Ovis aries: one gene and its partner. The protein of the gene in region 1 interacts with the protein of each later gene in a biochemical or structural test. Links are inferred from orthologs where the notes say so. Each region holds a gene or a part of one and is shown in the gene's direction. Other genes may lie near its edges.

The links.
Region 2: of the proteins of SRPK2 (region 1) and HNRNPC, one has a biochemical effect on the other in vitro, tested with the Homo sapiens proteins (2 studies listed by BioGRID and IntAct). The link is inferred for Ovis aries from reciprocal best matches to the Homo sapiens genes SRPK2 and HNRNPC.

Annotation. Positions count from the first base shown.
Region 1 is NC_056057.1:48,041,961-48,047,353, reverse strand, and holds the start of SRPK2 (SRSF protein kinase 2), read left to right. Parts: upstream 1-2,305; 5' UTR 2,306-2,326; coding exon 2,327-2,453; intron 2,454-2,782; exon of another isoform or gene 2,783-2,925; coding exon of another isoform or gene 2,926-2,941; intron 2,942-3,029; coding exon 3,030-3,084; intron 3,085-5,393. UniProt on the Homo sapiens protein: Serine/arginine-rich protein-specific kinase which specifically phosphorylates its substrates at serine residues located in regions rich in arginine/serine dipeptides, known as RS domains and is involved in the phosphorylation of SR splicing factors and the regulation of splicing.
Region 2 is NC_056060.1:24,245,305-24,249,993, forward strand, and holds part of HNRNPC (heterogeneous nuclear ribonucleoproteins C1/C2), read left to right. Parts: intron 1-748; 5' UTR 749-785; coding exon 786-1,026; intron 1,027-3,166; coding exon 3,167-3,281; intron 3,282-4,069; coding exon 4,070-4,117; intron 4,118-4,689. UniProt on the Homo sapiens protein: Binds pre-mRNA and nucleates the assembly of 40S hnRNP particles. Interacts with poly-U tracts in the 3'-UTR or 5'-UTR of mRNA and modulates the stability and the level of translation of bound mRNA molecules. Single HNRNPC tetramers bind 230-240 nucleotides.

The DNA of each region.
Region 1 (5,393 bases):
TAAGTATTACCCCAGTTTTTTTTTTTTTATGAGATGAAATTCACCAAACATGTTAATCATTTTACAGAGAACAATTCAGTGGCTTTTAGTGCAGGCTTTTGCCACCATCACCTTTCCCTAACTCCAAAACATTTTCATCACTACAAAATAGAACCCCTTATCCATTGAGCAATTGCTCCTTATTTCCCCTTCCCCCAGTCATGGACCATCACCAATCTCCTTTCTGTGGATTGGCTTATTCTGAATGTTTCATATAAATGGAATAGAACACTAGATGACCTTTTGAGTCTGGTTTCTTTCACTTGGCATAAATGTTTTTGAGGTTCATCCACATTGTAGCATCTACCAGTACTTCATTCCTTTTTATGGCTGAAAAATATTTCATTGTTTGTCAGTACCATAATTTGTTTATCCATTCATATTCTGGTGGATATTTGGGTTGTTTCTAATCTTTTGGCCACTATGATTAGTGATGCTCTGAACATTTGTGTGCAAGGATTTGAATGCCTGTTTTCAATTCTTTTGGATATACAACTAGGAGTGGAACTGCTGATTATTGTATATTTAGGCTTTTGAGGAATTGGGAAACAATTTTCCACAGTGATTGCACCATTTTACATTCCCACCACTAATGTATGAGTATTCCAATATCTCTTTATCCTCACTAACACTTGTTTTTCATTACAAAAAAATTATAGTCATGCTTGTAGATGTGAAGTGCTATCTCATTTTGATTTTGCTTTACATCTGTCTATTCTGATGCTGGGAGGGATTGGGGGCAGGAGGAGAAGGGGATGACAGAGGATGAGATGGCTAGATGGCATCACTGACTCGATGGACATGAGTCTGAGTGAACTCCAGGAATTGGTGATGGACAGGGAGGCCTGGTGTGCTGCGGTTCATGGGGTTGCAAAGAGTCGGACACGACTGAGCGACTGAACTGAACTGAACTGAACTGAGTGATGCTGTACATCATTTCATGTTGATGTATCATCTTTTCACATACCTGTCAGCCATTTGTTTATCTTTGGAGAAATGTCTAAGTCTCTTGCCCATTTTTCACACAGACTACTTTTTAAATACAAAGGAAACAAAATGTATCTTTACCATGGAGTAATGATTACAATGTAACATCACCAATAATAGTACAGACATTGTATCTCTCTTGATGCAGGATACTGCTGCTAGGGCTGCTGCTGCTAAGTCACTCCAGTGGTGTCCGACTCTGTGCTACCCCATAGACGGCAGCCCACCACGCTCCCCAAAATGAACTTAATATCATCTATTTAGTGTCGATGACAAAAAATTATTTAACTTGAATCTAATAGGGAGCAGATGAATACAAACTGAACAACGTTCTGGAAACAGTGGAATTCTTAGAAAAGGTGAATGTTATTAAAGCAAAAAACAAAACTAGGGATTATTCTAGACTACAGGAGCTTAAAAAGGCATGGCAAATAAATGTAATGCATGATCTTTGATTGTATTCCAGATTGAGAAAAAGGTCCACTAAGAAGGACATTTTGGAGATTTGAATATGGCCTCTGTATGTTACTCATAATGATAACTAAATTTTCTTGCAGTGATCATGGAATTATGATTACGTCGGAGAGTATTTGTTCTTAGTAGATACTCAAGAGTAACAAAGTCTACAAAAAACTGAAATGATTTATCATAAACAACACACCCCCTCCACACACACAGGGAAAGCAAATGTGGGGAAATGTTCAAAATTGGTGAATATGGGTTAATACGGATGTTCACGATATTTTTCTCAACTTTTCGGTACTTTTGATATTTTTTAAAATAAAAAATCAAGAAAGTATTGTAAAAAGCTCTTTAAGTTCAAGCAGCGCTATTCAGGTTGGTTTAAGGATCTTTAAAATACAACTAGCTCCCCTGATGAGCTAAGAATACAGTTGACAGAGTAAATGATCAGGATAAGTATCTTTCAAAAACATTTTTTCCCCCAATCAAGTTGATTAGAGTCACCTAGGCCTAAATTTGAATCATTGTTGGGTAAACTTTTTAACCTCTTCAGGAGTCAATTTCCTCTTAGTAAGGAATAACTCCTCGGTGGCTTGGTTATAATTGTTATACACTTGGCATTTATTGAACTGGACTTTTAATTCCTGTGCAAAAGCGTAATCCTACTTAATCCTACTGTTTGCATCTTTTTCTTTACACTCAAGCAATCCTGCGGGGTAGGTAAAGATGAGAGACAAAATGACTTTTCCAAGGTCACACAGCTAGTGAAAGACCCAGGTTTCTCAGCTCTTGGTCCTGTGCCCTTTCCACACCCGCCGGAGAGGAGGAAGTGGCGCTCATGGGGATGCAAGGATGTAGAGGAGCAAAGGGGGAGAAGAGGCCGCGTGAGGAAAGGTGGTGTGAGACCCGCGGAGGCGCGGGCCAGGGAAGAGCGCATGGAGAGACGTGTGGCGCGACCGGCCGGGGTGGGTAGGGGAGAGGCTGTGGTTGCAGGGGGAGGGTCGCGCGGGCCGGGTGCCGGGGAAAGGCAGGAGGCCTGGGCCAGCCGCGGGGGCGCAGGAGGCGGAGGCCCGGGCGGCGGAGGCGTGGGAGGGAGTGGCGGTGGCCGTGTGTGTGGGGTCACTTCCGCGCAGGTGGGCCAGTCGCGTGGGTGCGGGGCGCGCGGGCGGCACCGGCGCGGGGGTCTCGACCCCACTGGGCGGGCGGGGGCGGGGGCGGGGGCGGGGGCGGGGCCGGCCGGGGGCGGGTTTCTCTGGGCCCCCCGCGGGAGCGGCGGCGGCGGCGGCGGCGGCGCAGGCGCGGTTCCCGCCTCCTCCCGGCCGGCGGAGCGAGTGGAGGCTGCAGCTCGGCTCGGCTCCCGCGTCGCTGCCGCCGCCGCCGCCGCCGCCGCCGCCGCCGCCGCCGCGAAGCCCCCCGCCCCTCCGGCGCCGCGTCGGGATGAGCTCCCGGAAAGGTGAGTGGCCCACAGCGTCCCCTCCTCTGCGCCACGTGGCCCCGCAGGCCGGCCTGCCCGACCGTTAATGTGTGTCTTCTTTCCTCAGTGCTGGCCATTCAGGCCCGAAAGCGGAGGCCGAAAAGGGAGAAACATCCGAAAAAGTGAGTCCACATAGGGCTGGTCCCCAGACGCCCGTCCCCGCCCTGTCGGGGGGCGCCCGCGGCCGAGCAGGGGAAAGTTGCCCGGATTCCTGGAGCCGGCGGGCGGGCGGGCTGATCCCCCGGGACGCCGGCGCTCGCCTCCTGCGCGCCCCGCGGGCGGCCCGGGGGGAGGGGCGGGAGGGCGGGGGAGGGGCGCCCGCGAGCCCGCGGCCGCCCGGCTGAGCATCCCCGGACCCCAGGCCTCTCCGGCCTCCTGCCGCCGCGGCCGTCAGGGGCGGACGGGCGAGGAGGCGTGGGGCGTGCGCACCCTCCCCTTTGCTCTCCTAGCTGGCCCCGGGGGTCGCGAGCCTTCCAGGAAGGGGCGCTGGCGTCCGGTGCCGCGTCCGGGCGTGAGGCTGCGGCATCGCTCCCACCTGGGCGCCGGGGCGCTAGAGGAAGAGGAGCCGTGTGTGTGTGTGTGTTGTGTGTGTGTGTGTGTGTGTGTGTGCGTACGTATGTATATGCATGTTGCCTCCTCTTCCTCGGCCCCCGCCTCTCGGCCTTTTTGCTGAAAACCCGAGCTGGTTGTCAAGTGGTTTGCCTCGGGCGTGTTCCTGGCGCGAATTCAGCTCCGAGACCTGTGCGTTTCGGCGCTTGGATTTTTTTTTTTTCCCCCGAAACTTTCTGCCCGGGCCGAGCGTGACTTCGCTGAGCCGCGGCTGCGCCCGGGTCTTGGGCTGCGCGGGGCGGGTGGGCGTGTGCGCAGGCGGTCCCCGGCGCGGCTGCCCAGCCCCTCATTGTGCCGGGAGGAGATGAATAGGGTGGTGATATTTCAAACGTGCCAGCCGCCAGCCACCTCCAGCTTGGCCGCGGACCGGAGTGGGAGCGGCCGGCGCCCGGGAAGCCTTTCCTGGAGAGCTGCTCCGACACCGCAGAGCGCCGCCGCGTCTCCTTTCCCTTTCCTCCCTCTAATTTTGAAGAATCTACTACCGTTCAGAATCTTTACTCCTCCTCCTAGATTTGTGGCTTCGCTCTTCCATTTGAGCAAGAAATACTCTATGGTTTATTTGGTATTATGGGGATAGTCCGTGATCATCTTTAAATAAAATCACGAAGCAGTTCTCGTTGGTTTGTTTTCTTTGGGGCACTAGCCTGCAGCGTCTTAGACTTTTCCCCTTCTCATTCACTTTGGTGTCTGCCTAGCGAATTTCATAACCATTGGTGGCGTCTATGAAAGCTGCGTAAGTCATTACTAATGTGATGTATCATGATATTTACTTGAACGTAAGTTCAGGATGTCACAAAATGTGGATACCTATATAATAAAGCCTTTCTTAAAAACAAGCACCCTGCACTCAAACAAGCCTACTACTAGAATGAGGGAAACATATTTATTAAGGGCTTAAATTGATGGCTAAAAATTGAATTCTTAATATTTTAAATCGCAGTGGATATTTGGTAGATTTAGGAACTTTAAAAATTAACGCTATCAATCTTATATTTGAGGTCTCCTTTGGTAAATGATGGAAATTTAGCCCATAAGTAGCCCATAAGAACTGTAGTGTTTTGGCTCTTGAGTTTTGGTCACGACTTTCAAATTTAAGCATTTCTTCCTACACAGCCCATTTTGTTCAGAAAAGTTAAAAGGAGTTGGAAAAAAGCATGCCCTTAGTTTTGGGGATGGCTGTTTGTGTGAGGCTGTGTAGATGGATCTATGTATATGTAGATCTGTTTGATTGAGGCAGTGTCATTTTTCACTTAATTCTTTGAATCATGGCAGTATTAAAGGAATCCTTAATATTGCTTTATTCATATATTCAACAAGTATTTGTATGCCATTCCTAGAATACATTGGTAGAGCTTTGAGCAAGAAAAGCAAAGTTTATGAAGCTGTGTCTCTTCCGGGGCTTCAGAACCAATGACAAAGACGATTCCGGATAATGCCGTGAAGATAGAAAGTGAAGATGGGGTGCATTAAGTACAGTGATAGATAACATTTGAAAACTGTGCCAGTCAATTTGCGGCTCTATTTTCATGTATCTATCCCTGGTGGTCATCCTGTGAGGCAGACACTGTAGGTATCACCACTTTACAGATGAAGCAGAGGCATAGCATGAGTAAGCAACATGTCCAGCTATTAAGTTCAGTCTGGGCAGACTGAGACCAGAGCTCACTCTCAGTTCTCTGAGGAGGTTGCATTTGAATAGAATTTAGAATAAAGAGAAGATGGGAGTATGGCAAAGGCCCTGGGGAGGAATGGGCTAGGAATGTTGGAGGAACCCAAAGGTCGGAGTGGCTAGAGTGCTCCTGGTGAGGATGGTGATTTGGGA
Region 2 (4,689 bases), on another chromosome or scaffold:
TCATCACCATCCAGCATTATTAAATGTCCTAGCTATATTTTGTACTGTTTTCACATAAAGAATCATTAACATTCTGTAAAAATGGTATTGATATGTAAGTATCTATTGGATGCTATAAATCTGGAAATAAACCTGGAAATAGATTATTTCCAGAGTGAATGAGTTGGTTCTATTTATTGCCTTCATATAACAAAGTTAATTAAACTTGAAGGGCAGAGTGTCACTTGTCCACATTCATCCAGCTAAAAAATAGTTTTTGGGCAGAAACTGGAGTTCTTTATGTGGTAACGAGTGAGACTCAATAAAAGCAACATGCAAAAAGGTGGAGTTATTGATAGATGGCAAGGGATGGTTCGATTAGCATAACTGGGACAGTGAAAAAACAAATTTATGGTAGAGAGATTAAGGGGTTCTGATTTGCTTGAGGAGTTTTAAACAGTGAAGTCACTTGGGATTAATAATTTCCAAGAGGATTGTGTGTATTATGTGAAGAGGAATTTTCCCCTCTTGAAGTGATAGTCTAGCAGGAGTATATTACAGAAGAGGAGGTTGAATTTCTATGAGGATATATATTCATGGGCTCAAGTCTCTGAATACTAATAAACTTGATGCTGTGAGATCCATTTTGTTTAAGTTGACTGATAACTGTAGGTAGAATGGTTCAAAATAAGAGTAGAACAGGTTTTTTATCAAGGACTATTTTGTTCTTAGCATTTTTTCACCTGAATGCATTTTTTTCCCCTCTCAGTTTTTCAGCTTTGTGAAGCACCGTATCATCAAAGACAATGGCCAGCAATGTTACCAACAAGACGGATCCTCGCTCCATGAACTCTCGTGTATTCATTGGGAATCTCAATACCCTTGTGGTCAAGAAATCTGACGTGGAGGCAATCTTCTCAAAATACGGCAAAATCGTGGGTTGCTCTGTTCATAAGGGCTTTGCCTTTGTTCAGTATGTTAATGAGAGAAATGCCCGGGCTGCTGTGGCAGGAGAGGATGGCAGAATGATTGCTGGCCAGGTTTTAGGTAAGATCTGGGTTGAATTAATTTTTCATTGATTATGTAATTCACATCTGGGAGTTCTTCTGTTCATGTTTTCTTTCTCTCCCTCTCCCTCTCCATAAAGCTGTTATTCAGAGAGGTGTTCTGCGTGTTATGTCTTGACATCAGCCTAATAAAAAATAAAAATAAGGTTTATAGGTCTAAAGAGAATTTTAGGCCTGTAAAATTTTACCATTTGGTGTAGTAGAGACTGGATAACCCTTAGTTGGCAGTCTTGAGTAAAGTAGGAGAGAGAGGAACAATATTTCATAAGGTACTTTTGCTGCCTAAAATGTCTGTGTCGTTTTGAACACAGTCGACTGGGTAAAGACAACAGGGCTTAGTCATGTGCTCTAGAGTCAGATGTATGTTAGGGCCTTACGTGTTGGGCAGCCTACATGGCTTTTCTTCGTTAAAATAATTGTGTGTGTGTGTGCACATGCTACCTTGGTTTATTATCTATTCTTACTGAAGGTAATACTACTATGTGGTTGTCAAGAGAATTTAGATAACTTGAGAGGGTTAGTTATTTAGATAACTTGAGGTGATTCATAATAAAAGGTTGTCTTATATTAGTTCCCCAGTAGGGTTCGCCTCTGATCTAGCATGTTTAAATTTTTGAGAAATGAGATCTGAGCTCTATTCAGATAAATTATATTTTAAACTTGAGATCTCATTATATGTGTTTCAGTCCTGTGAAAACTGTTGTTTGAAACTTGAGATATCTCATCTTTGGCCAGTGGATAGACCACCTTTAAGTTGGTTCCTGTGTCCTTGAGACCTTTCTCTTGTGATAATGCATTTCCCTTGCTTACTGCACCACAGGATATTCTGGGTCATCTGTGTATCTTATAAGAGTGTTGGCTCCTTTTGATGGGAATTATTTGGAAACCCACTCCCTGTATACCAGGAGTGTTTATTGAATTTTAATTGCATCTTGTTAGTTTCAGTGGGCAGAATAGGGGACACTTAGGTTTTTAAGAAAACAAAATGTCAGATTTTTATGTGTGCATTGTACCACAGCCTCAAGCAATCATAACTCTGTTTTTATTAAAATTATTCAATTTTGGATATTGACTTATTCTCTTGATGGAATAACACATGTTTGAATTGCATGACTTCACATCTACGTATGTATTACATTACTGTAAGAGCATTGGTAGAATCCTAGTGCAAAACCACAGATAATGGAGGGGCAACTGTAAATTTAATGCAGATTTTCCACTATCATGAAATAATTCTATGAGGTTGTAAAATCAGTTGGATACATAGTGTAGTTAATCTTGTTACTACATTTTTTAAACTGCTTTTAAAAAGTCTACCTTTAGTTTTATAAAATCTTAATGATTCCAAAGTCAAAATTGTAAAAGCAGGGTTGTTATAAACATTAATTACTAAAAATTAGAAATGAGTTTTTAGTGAACTACAGACTCTGAAGATTATTCATACTCTGAAGATTATTCATAAATGTAATGGTGTTTAGCAGATAAGACAATGTACTTAAAAGTCTTTTTCCAGTGGTCACTTGATGAACTGAGTTTTGGAGAGCTGGCTAGCTTTTATTTAATTGTTTTTTGAGAAATCGACTCGTCTGTTAAAAGGAACATGAATTCTTTGATAGGTAGTGGGTGGCATGGTGAGCAACTGGGCACTTTGGCATAGGTGTTTTAAAAATTATGTTGTATATGGAAACTAGATTTGTTTTCTTTTAATTCTTTCCCTTTTCTTGGAGTGTGTGTATGCATATGAAGATTGTTTACTTATAAGCAGTTCACTATACAGTGTTTATTTTTTTATGCAGCTTTTCAGTTTATCCTATTTGTAAGGAGAATAAAAATCCCCAGTTTCTCATTGAGGTATTCAAGTCGAGGGTAAAAGGTACTAAAGACAGACTTCGTATGTTTTGCCTTTCTGTTTTGTTGGTAGAGAACAGAGGACAAAGAAACGGAGGATTAAGTCCTAACCTTGTAAAAAAAATCTTGAGCCGATTTTATATAACAAGGAAAGATGAGATACATCATTTGACTTTTGTTTAATTATATGGCCATGTACACTCTAGAAAGATGCAGTTTGAGACACCTCCCTCCCAACAGAGTTGTCATTAAAGTTTTTTTTCCACCCCCAGATATTAATCTGGCTGCAGAGCCAAAAGTGAACCGAGGAAAAGCAGGTGTGAAACGATCTGCAGCGGAGATGTACGGGTCAGTACCAGAACACCCTTCTCCGTCCCCTCTACTCAGGTCCGGAACTTTATTATTTATAACTGCATTGTGTCCATCAGTGGGCATCTTCTCTATCTGTTTTCTGGATGTGGGGAGGGTTAACTGTAGTATGTTTTATGTATGTGAAAGGACTGCTTTATTAATTTTGTGTTAATATACTTCATTTTACCCCATTTCCCAGAGAGTTGTTGGAATTCCTGAGATTTTTTACTATTAAAGAGTAGTTTGGTATTTAAAGTGTTAGTTGCTCAGTCGTCTCTGACTCTCTCGCTATGCCATGGGCGTAGAGCCTGTCGGGCTCCTCTGTCCATGGGATTTCCCAGACAAGAATACTGGAGTGTTGTTGCCATTGCCTTCTCCAGGGAATCTTCCTGACCCAGGGATCAAACCCGGGTCTCCTGCATTGCCGGCAGATTGCTTACCATCTGAGCCACCAGGGAAGCCCTACTAGTATAAATTAAATTCCTTCAAAAGGAGTTACTTAGCTTCTGAGAAGCTGGGGAGGGAGTAAGAAAGGGAAAGAGGATGACATAAGAATGTTTAATTTACTATTGTGTTTTTCCATATTTTTATTTTAGCTCTTATGTGTTGGCATTTTAGCAATCTTAGCTAAATTTGTAGTTCGGCCACTATGTCCAGTGGCCTAAAGTGGTTGGAATTTAGTGATCTGTTGCTTAATGATTGGGCATTAGTCCATGCTAATCTGTTGATCTGTTTGTTGGGTTGGTTTAGGGTGGGTTTTTTTTTTTTTCCATCTGCTGTCGTCAACAGGTCCAAATTAATCCTCTCTGGTATTTGTTTTTCAGCTCATCTTTTGACTTGGACTATGACTTTCAACGGGATTATTACGACAGGTATGTTTAAGATGTTTTCTCTTCCAATTAGAGGCTGTCTAGTGAGAACCATTTATTTTTCTATTTTGTGGTAATGTTCTGTTTTGTAGTAATGAATAACAAACACGTTTTTAAATAAAAGCCCCCTCTTTTCTGTCAGAACATAATGAAAAAAAGTGTGTGTTGCTCAGTTGTATTTGACTGTTTGCAGCCCCATGGACTGTAGCCATCCAGGCTCCTCTGTCCATGTAATTCTCCAGTCAAGAATACTGACTGGAATGGGTTGCCATTCCCTTCTCCAGGGGATCTTCCTGATCCAGGGATCTAACCCAGGTCTTCTGCATTGCAGGCAGATTCTTTACCATCTGAGCCACCAGGAAGCCCAATGGAAAAATAACTTCCTGCAAATCATTAGAGTTAGACTAGATAAGGGTGATTTTTTGTTGTTGTTGATTTTATAGAATCAGTTTATATATATATTGACAGGGCATATGGAGACATGTCCAATATTTTCTGGACTAACGCTTTTTCTTGACAAGTCAGTTTTTTGTTTTAATTTGTGCCACATAAATGTAAGGACTGACTTGCCCAGT